Coturnix japonica: one gene and its partner. The protein of the gene in region 2 purifies or fractionates together with the protein of the main gene of each other region. This does not show direct contact. Links are inferred from orthologs where the notes say so. Each region holds a gene or a part of one and is shown on either strand. Other genes may lie near its edges.

Region 1 (4,563 bases), on a different chromosome or scaffold from region 2:
ACAGACCAGTGTGCCTGATGGAACAAAGACAGCGCTCCTGCATCTTACAACTTTGCACACAAACAGCCAAGGCCCCAGGGCGTGTCTGCAGTGCCCCAAGGTTCTACATCAGCATGGGGCACTTCTGAGCAGTACTGGGATACTCACTTTCCTGCTGACTCGCAGGCATACATCTGTCCATATCCAAACTCATCATTTTCTGCCATGAGCAAATCTAACTTCACAACGTCTGAAGGTTTAGAGTAGTCATTTCTATTCCTTTTTCTTCCACTGCCATTCCTCCCTACCTTACATTGCCCTGCCCAGCACACATCCACAGAACATATACGATTTTCTACATGGTCCTCAAGTAGAAGCAAAGAAATTGGTGGAATGGAGCCTCACCTTCATCCACATGCAAATCCACCACAACAAACCCCTTTGTGCTAGAAGTCAGTCAAACTGTTTGGTAGCTTCCCTTCCTCAGTACAGAGCTCTTTATCTAATTTTAACTAATGACTTCCAAAATAGCTCTTCTGGGTTTTGCCTCAAAAATCAGCCTTTCAATTCATCTGATTTCCTTTTGTATTATCCATGCAAAATAGAAGACATAATTACCAACGAATTTCCAAGATCAATAAGAACAAGTGAGGCAAAATTTTCTATGAACATGGCAATGTGCAACTCAAAAACACAGTAAGGGAGCAGCAGGGAAGGCATCTAACTCAGCAGATAACGAATTATATCACAGGTGATCAGTCTCAAGAAGAAAGTGGTTTCAAAGTATCACATTGAGCTGTGTACTCTTCTGTTAATAGTTTTGCCAAATTATTTAAGGATTATCCTAATTTGTGCTGGTATAAAACTTGATTTTAGAAAACAATCAGAATTTCAGAAATCCTTCCAAGAGAAGATGCAGCAAATTCATGATGCCGGTTCTGCAGGCATGAACTAATTCCACACAGATCACAAGTTCTTTTTCTGCTGATGTGCAGAGTCTTTGCTTCAGGCTGCGCGTTGCCTGTCACTAAAAGGGCTACAAGGCCTTCCCACACACCATTAGCACGTGTGCAGAGGAGGTGTAAGGTTTAAGACGAACCCTAGAACTGACAAGAAGGTAAAGCCAGACCTCTCCATGCTCACACGTATCTGTTTGTCCTTCAGAGGAACTCCTCAGAGCAGGAAAACATGCAGCAGAGTTCAGAAGCACTCAAAGAACAGCAGCCCTCAGACATTCCCTCTTTCCATTGCCAGCCCAAAGAAAACAGTAAGATCTCAGTCACACATCAACTGTTTAGCAAAGAGGTTCTCGGGCATATGAGCAGTGTGTGCCTACAAGAGACGCCTTTTGACCAATGGCTCCCCCAAAAAAGAAAGAACACACAAGGACTGGAGTCTGATACAAAGGCCTGACAGACATTTCAGGAACCACAAGCCAGTTCTGCACTTTGGGGCCACAGCTCGGCCCTTCTGAGCACTTTGCCTGCCCTCCCTTCAAACTATACTATGGATGGTATCATTTAAAGTGAAGTTACAGCTGTGGATCAGTGCTGTATGTGAGTAGCTGGGCTCCCACTCATCAGTTATCAAAGAAACACTTTGAAGGATAGCACCATTAACTACTTACAGTGTAAGAAATAAAAGGCTTTTTCCAGCACTGTCTCTGCTTCCCAGCAACGCTCCCCTGGAGCCGCGCGGCTGCAGGCCCAGGGGCCGGGGCAGCACTGCGGGCACGGCCCGGTAACGTGCTCAGAGCGGCACCGAGAGCCGAAGGGAGAACGGAACCCGCAGCGGGTGCGTTCGGACGGCGCAGAACCGGCTCCTGGGCCGATCCAGGCGCTTCCTTGCATTCAGCCCGGCTTTCCCTCAGTCCGCCGGCCACTCACCTGCAGCGCCGGGGCCGCGTGCGGAGACCGCCCGAGCGGAGCGGCCACCGCCGGGGGCGGCTCGGACGGATGGCGGCAGCCCCCAGCGGCGCCCGGCCCCGCCCGACCCACGGCTCGTGCTGCGGCTCCGGGGCTGCAGCTCCGCACGGACGGACGGGCCGCCCCGCAACGCGGCTCCGGGCCGGGCCCAGCGGCGGCTGCAGCTCGAGGGGCTGAAGGGACGGGCCGCCGGCAGGGGAAGGCGGCAGCGGCGGCCGAGGGACACGCACGGGGCTGACGCCCGGCCCGGCCCGCCGCGTCCCCGGGGGCGGCACAGCACGGTACGGTACAGCACGGCACGGCACGGCACGGGACCGAGGCACGACACAGCACGGTACGGTTCGGTTCGGTACGGCACAGCTCGGCACGGCCCCGCGGGGCACTCACCGCGATCCCGGCGAGGCTGCGTCCCTCCGCATCACTTCCGGGCCAGCAGTCAGCTGGCGCCGTGACGTCACGCGGCGCGACCGGCGCAGCACGAACCGGGAGGGCACAGGGCGGGGAAGAACGGGAGCAGCGGGGCGGGGAGAGGCACGAAAGGACACGGCACGGGACCGAGGCACGGCACGGCACGGCACGGCACGGTGCGGGGCTGAGAGCGCGGCCTGGAGGGAGCCTGTGCCCGGAGGTGCCGCGGGCGCTGCGGGCGGGAGGTCGGCGCTGGTTCCGCCGCTGCGGGTAAGGCCGGCCCGGGCGGCAGGGGCAGATCGCACCGTACACACAACAGCGGCATTTCGGGCCTCGTTTCTGACGCCGGCTCTTGGTGCGGGCTCAGCGGGCAGACGGCGCCACAACGACCGGGGCGCTCAGGACCCCCCTCGCTCACAGTCAGCACCTCGGAATCATCGCACGGCCAACGAGCTGCTCGGCACCTGGCACCGGTACCGCAGTCCACCCACCATCACCCACCATCACCCACCATCACCCACCATCACCCACCATCACCCACCACCACCCACCAGTGCTGTCATCGTGTGCGTGATTCCAGGTCTGGACACACAGCACAGACGGGGCAGCGCTGTTACAACACAGCGGAGACTCCTCCGAGTTTCGGTGACTCGCCCAACGCTGCGTGTTGCAAAACAGCAGTGACAGAAAGCACGGCCGGTCCTGAGCTGGTTCTCATTCAGCAGAGCACTGCATCGAGTGCTTGACTTGCAGCAGGAGCTCGGGCTGCTTGCATGGGGCAGATTTAAGTCTCAGTGCCAATACTTTGCTGGCTGGGTCTTCTGGTTTCAGCAGCTATTTCAGTTCATTCTTTAGGTGGTGGAGATGCTCTTAAGCATTGAATTGTGTTTAAAAGCAGTACACGTGGTGGTCGTTCACACAAACTGGGGCTCTTGTGGGGTTGGTCTGTTTCAGATGACAGCAGTCACACGACAAGAGGTGCTGGGCCTTTACCGCAAGATATTCCGGATAGCCAAGAAATGGCAGTCGGCATCAGGACAGGTGGAACAAACTGCTGCAGAGAGGGAGTACATTATAAAAGAAGCCAAAACGTTGTTCCGAAAAAACAAAGATGTGAGTGAGCGTCATTGCAGGTTTGAATTTCTGACCCCTTTCACTGTGCTTTGCTCACCCCCAGTGGGTGGATGCCAAGGTATGGAAATAAGAAATGATTTCCCAAAATTCCTTCCCCATAAATGCCAGTACAAACACATTCTAAGGCATATTTGAGTTACAGCTTATTATTTCAGGGGTCAAAATCTGTAAGAAAATTCAAACCCTCTGAGGTCTCCATAAACTCCTGTGGAAGGCCAGGCACGTCACCTCGAAGAGCACTCTCTGCTCTCACAATTCTGATAGCCTCTGGGCGCTGCTACTCAGAGCCATAGAGCTCAGCAGTGCAGATGTGAAAAACACCATCATTGTATCCTTGGAACTGCAAAAGGAAGGGAAAAAAAAGCTTGAATCTTGAAATGCTGATTTTTGTACTTGTGCAAAATATTTATTTTTAGCTCTCTGTTATCTTAGGTGACAGATCCGAAGCTGATTAAGCAGTGCATAGAAGAATGTGAGGCAAGAATAGAAATTGGACTTCACTACAACATCCCCTACCCGAGACCCGTGAGTATGTCTGTTCCCCACAGGTGCACCTTATTAGCTCCCATCTGACACTCAAATCATAGATCCATTCTACTGTCGTTGTGCCACACATCTCACCTCTGCTCAGGTGCTCTGCTAAATCAGAGCCAGGTGAGCTCTGAAAAAATCATCAGCACGCTGCTTTAAGACTTCAGCTTGGGACCTTAACAGGATTTCTGTGTCTTGCTGTTCTGGAATACTGCTTACAGGCATATTTCAACAATGTTATCGTCACAATCTGATTTCAGATTGCAGACCAGAATTAACAAAACCTCAAGTATGCAGGGTTTTCTTAAACCTGATGTTTAAGGCTGCAGAGTCGCTCCACTAATTGCTCTTCAGAGAGTTCTTTGCACAGAAATCTAATAACCTGGCTTCAGACAGCATGGTTGCCCTCTCCAATGAGTGAACGAGTGATTGAAACTCAATAAAATTGTCTGTATATGCTTCTTTTTTTTTTTTTTTTTTTTCTTTGTAGCATCTTTATTTGCACCTGACTTGGGATTTTCTATTCCAGATCCATCTGCCTCCCTTGGGCCTTGCCCAGAAACAAGGCCGTACGTTCCGACATCAG
Region 2 (3,809 bases):
CATAGCTAAGCCAAGTACTATCAAATGCATCCATCTGTAATTCAGAAAGGACAATGCCAATATGCAACCCAATCTACTAGACTGGAATACTGCAGAAGAGCAAGACATGCCTTTGGATATAATTTATTTTCCTCACCACTATAAGACAACAATAATTATTAGAATACTTCCTCATTTCTGTATTTATTAGCAGCACTGGCACAGCAGAGTTTATGACATCCAAACATAATCCCACTGCTTAACAGTTAAGGTATAACATTACATTACAGAAACAATTTCAGTTCAAATCTTGCAAAACTATTGTATACCAAGGAGACTACTAGATCTTAAGATAACTCAAAATAAATGCCTGAGAATTACTTACCTCCTAACAAAGGATTCAAATGCTTGAATGCAATACTCCCGTAGTTCATCATCGTCTACATTACAAAACTTTACAACCAAAGGAATTATTTTCTCAAGATATTCACCTGACAAGAGAATATTAGCAAAGTAATTACTCTCATCTAAAGAACCTTCCCCGTAACAGATAATTTATATATTTTTCTTACCTATTCTATGACCTGCTTGCCTACTGATAGCAGCAATACACTGTATATAGGTCCTAGTTGTTGACATGGAATCATTTTTAGACAGCTCTGTCAACAGATGTTCAATGAGGTCAACAAAAACCATATTGCCACAACTCATAACCAGGTGACCAAGAGCAATGATGGTTCTTTTCCTCACAGCAAGTCTGGGGCTAGTCAGCTGGGGGAGCAGACAGGTCAGAATTGAAGGATGGAAGTTAACAAGCAGTCCTCCTTGCCTTAAAACAGACAAAACACAAACTCAAACCAATTGAATCTAGATAACTTTGTTCATATATTCTACCAGAATTTCTTAAAATATTCCCAAAACACCACAGAGATTCCAATTAAGTTTTTAAAGTTTTGGAACTTTAAAAAACAAGAAACAAGTTTAAAATACACCTTCAAAGCAATAAACATTGAAAAGTAACTTAAAACTACAGTTACCAGAAAAAGAAACAAATTATCAGTCTTCTCAATTAACTTATCTTTAATACATCCCATTATCTGGTTTGAACTAAGGTTTCATTTACACTTAACATCTTGCCATGTTACTTCATTTAAAGTAAATTTTATTTAATATTTTGAAAATTAGGAAGTTAAAGGAGTATTTACTGGCATTCATCAGCATTTTGGAAGAAGGATGTTTACCTGCTCAGCATATCAGCCATGATATCTAGTGCCTCCAATTGAACAGACACATCTTCCTGCTTGGCTATAGCACTAGTGAGACGCCCTGTGATCTTTTTGCAAACATTAGCTGCTAATGCAGAACCTGAAAATACAATAAGACCTCAGCATTTCCATAATAAGAAAATACAGTTATTAACACAAGAGGTCGTGCCTGTAACTATGGGAAGCAACTAGCATTTAACATGAATCAGCTTTCCCACCCAATAAAACAAGTTTGAACAGCAAGTTTCTTTGCTCATGTAAAGTATTATGCTCTGCATTAGAGCTGAAAGACTACCTATATACCCAAAAACATTCTGAGTAGGAGGGTTCAGTTTTATAAGTTGTACGTAACAAAAAAGATACTGCTTTTGGCAGGTCAAGTAATGGAAAGCAAAGGCCAAAATAAGCTTAGAGCAATAAATGGAAGGACTACAAACAAAAATAAAGTAACTAAAAGAAGCACAGAAGTAGATGGTGACTCTTGACAAAAAAAACAAAACAAGGTACAGCCACTTCACACAAGGAGCTATTTAAGTCTACTTGAGAGGCTGCTAAAATAAACATTATACGTGCTTTAAAATTCAAGTTAAAACGTCTTTGCTACACCTGCACAGTTTTCCCCAACATACACGGAAGGTTTTTTGTTGTTTTCTTTAAAGTCACATTTTTGGAATGTAGATGTGAAATTAATGCCATTCTAATCTACATTTTAAATATTTATTTTTAAGTTTATGCATCTTATTACTACCTGATTAACACGTGATTATTTATTTGTGGACTTTCAGTAAAGGATGTCAAAGTCCGAGCATGCCTGTATTGTTTGTTTTTATTTAAGCAACTTCAGTCTCTAAAAGCTGCATTTTCAAAGCCCTCTTAATCAGCTTTCTCTTCTCATTCATACCCTACATACAATATCTGAAATCAACTTGAGTAAAAAGGTAATAATACTAACTGAAGAGCTGTTCAACATTAGCATCTCTTCTGGAGTGGACCGTCTTCATTTAAAACTACAATTCAGCATTTCAGTAACTTAACAGCAACTTGTTAGAAACATTAGGTACATTCCAAAACACTTATCTAAACTGAGGTAAGAAACTGAATTGTTAAAGAAAAATATGCAAATTTTAATTTAATTTATGAGTGTTCTATCAACCAAAAAGCAAGAAGAGGTTTTGTTATGAGTACAGCCCAGAAATGTTCCACCAGATGATTATTAAAATAGAAGATTTTATGCTCAATTTGTTACTCCAGCGTTCCTGTAACACAAGATTTTTCTCCTGAAATGTCGCATCAGTGTTGGAAACTTAAGTTTTTTAAACCAGCAGGATTCCAAAGTACCGCCACAGAACTAAAAGAACGTCTTGAATACAAAACACCTTACCACTGGAAGCTGGGGGGAGTTCTCCAATCACAGTTTTAAGGCCAATGCTTGAAATGTCACGTAACTGTTCTTTATCTGAAAGCATGTTTGTACAGAGTGTATCTACAATGGTCTCCACTTGATACTCCTTCACTTTGCTCACCAACGGGCCGAGGCTGTATAAAGAGAAGAAAGGTAATACATTTGCAATGATAAATAAAAACATCCAAATCCTTCATTTTTATTTCTGTATCTTATATGAAGTCACAAAGTTAAGATTGGTTTTAGTAGCAACACAAAGCAAATGTTTTACACCTGACAGCTCTTAGCTGGTCAGGCTGATAACCTACCTCCTTAGATCTAGTGACAAAATACAGATTTAGTGCATCTGTTTGTTTGGTTTTTTTTAGTCTAGTGATGGAAACAGTTTTGTATGAGTGCTGTGCTTCACCATTCCAAAACCTGAGCCCCTCTTACTTCATCACACTTAATACCAAGGCTTACAAAACTACCTAGCCAAAGACATCAGTCTATGTACTACAAAGTTCAGACAAGTAAGCAAACCTCTTTACTACCACAACTTCATTCTTTATTCTACAAAACACTTGGGTTCTTTTTGACATGTTCATTCTACGCCATAAAATGCCTTAATAGAATACAGCAGTGAAATATAAAACAGAAACATGGCAAGTCTTCATTCAGAGACCCTTATAAACACAGCACTTGGGGGAAAGAGTGAAAATGTCACCGTAAGGTTAATGTTCAGCCATCTCAAATATTTCAAGGATGATGACAATTTTGTTTCCTTTATCGTACGCTTCCCTTTGTTCAAAACACTGAAGCTGCAGAAAGTTGCAGTGAAATCTACTTCATTGCTAAGAAATACAGTACCCTTCATCATCTTCCTAACCCTACTGCCAACTTTCAGTGCCTCTCCCTTGTAAACACCCTGTTCCAGACAGGAAGTTATGCAAAAAATCAGTGCCTTATTCTGCCTCTATTTCGTTCTAACACTAGCAAGCAAGTCTTCCACTTCCTTCTTGAGGCTCTAGGAAAGACACAAGAGCAGGACTGTGGTTTTATTGAGCTGTGTAGAAAAGTACACACACCTTCTCTCTCCTTTTCCCTCCACATTTGCTTACTCAGTTCTAACTTTTCATTTAATTATTTATTTTACAACACCAGCCTTCAGACAAACTGCCTCA

The links.
Region 1: the proteins of CAND1 (region 2) and DCUN1D3 purify together in Homo sapiens (affinity purification with western blotting; 3 studies listed by BioGRID, with this or other methods). This does not show direct contact. The link is inferred for Coturnix japonica from reciprocal best matches to the Homo sapiens genes CAND1 and DCUN1D3.

The regions. Positions count from the first base shown.
Region 1 is NC_029529.1:12,709,097-12,713,659, forward strand, and holds the start of DCUN1D3 (DCN1-like protein 3), read right to left. Parts: upstream 2,970-4,563; 5' UTR 2,864-2,969; exon of another isoform or gene 2,589-2,863; intron 2,583-2,588; exon of another isoform or gene 2,462-2,582; intron 2,379-2,461; exon of another isoform or gene 2,292-2,378; intron 1,858-2,291; exon of another isoform or gene 1,607-1,857; intron 1-1,606. Other genes in the region: LYRM1 (LYR motif-containing protein 1), read left to right, coding at 3,177-3,425, 3,879-3,971, 4,507-4,563. UniProt on the Homo sapiens protein: Contributes to the neddylation of all cullins by transferring NEDD8 from N-terminally acetylated NEDD8-conjugating E2s enzyme to different cullin C-terminal domain-RBX complexes and may play a role in the cell cycle progression by regulating the SCF ubiquitin E3 ligase complex, after UV damage.
Region 2 is NC_029516.1:31,596,394-31,600,202, reverse strand, and holds part of CAND1 (cullin-associated NEDD8-dissociated protein 1), read right to left. Parts: intron 2,781-3,809; coding exon 2,626-2,780; intron 1,345-2,625; coding exon 1,221-1,344; intron 809-1,220; coding exon 552-808; intron 471-551; coding exon 365-470; intron 1-364. UniProt on the Homo sapiens protein: Key assembly factor of SCF (SKP1-CUL1-F-box protein) E3 ubiquitin ligase complexes that promotes the exchange of the substrate-recognition F-box subunit in SCF complexes, thereby playing a key role in the cellular repertoire of SCF complexes.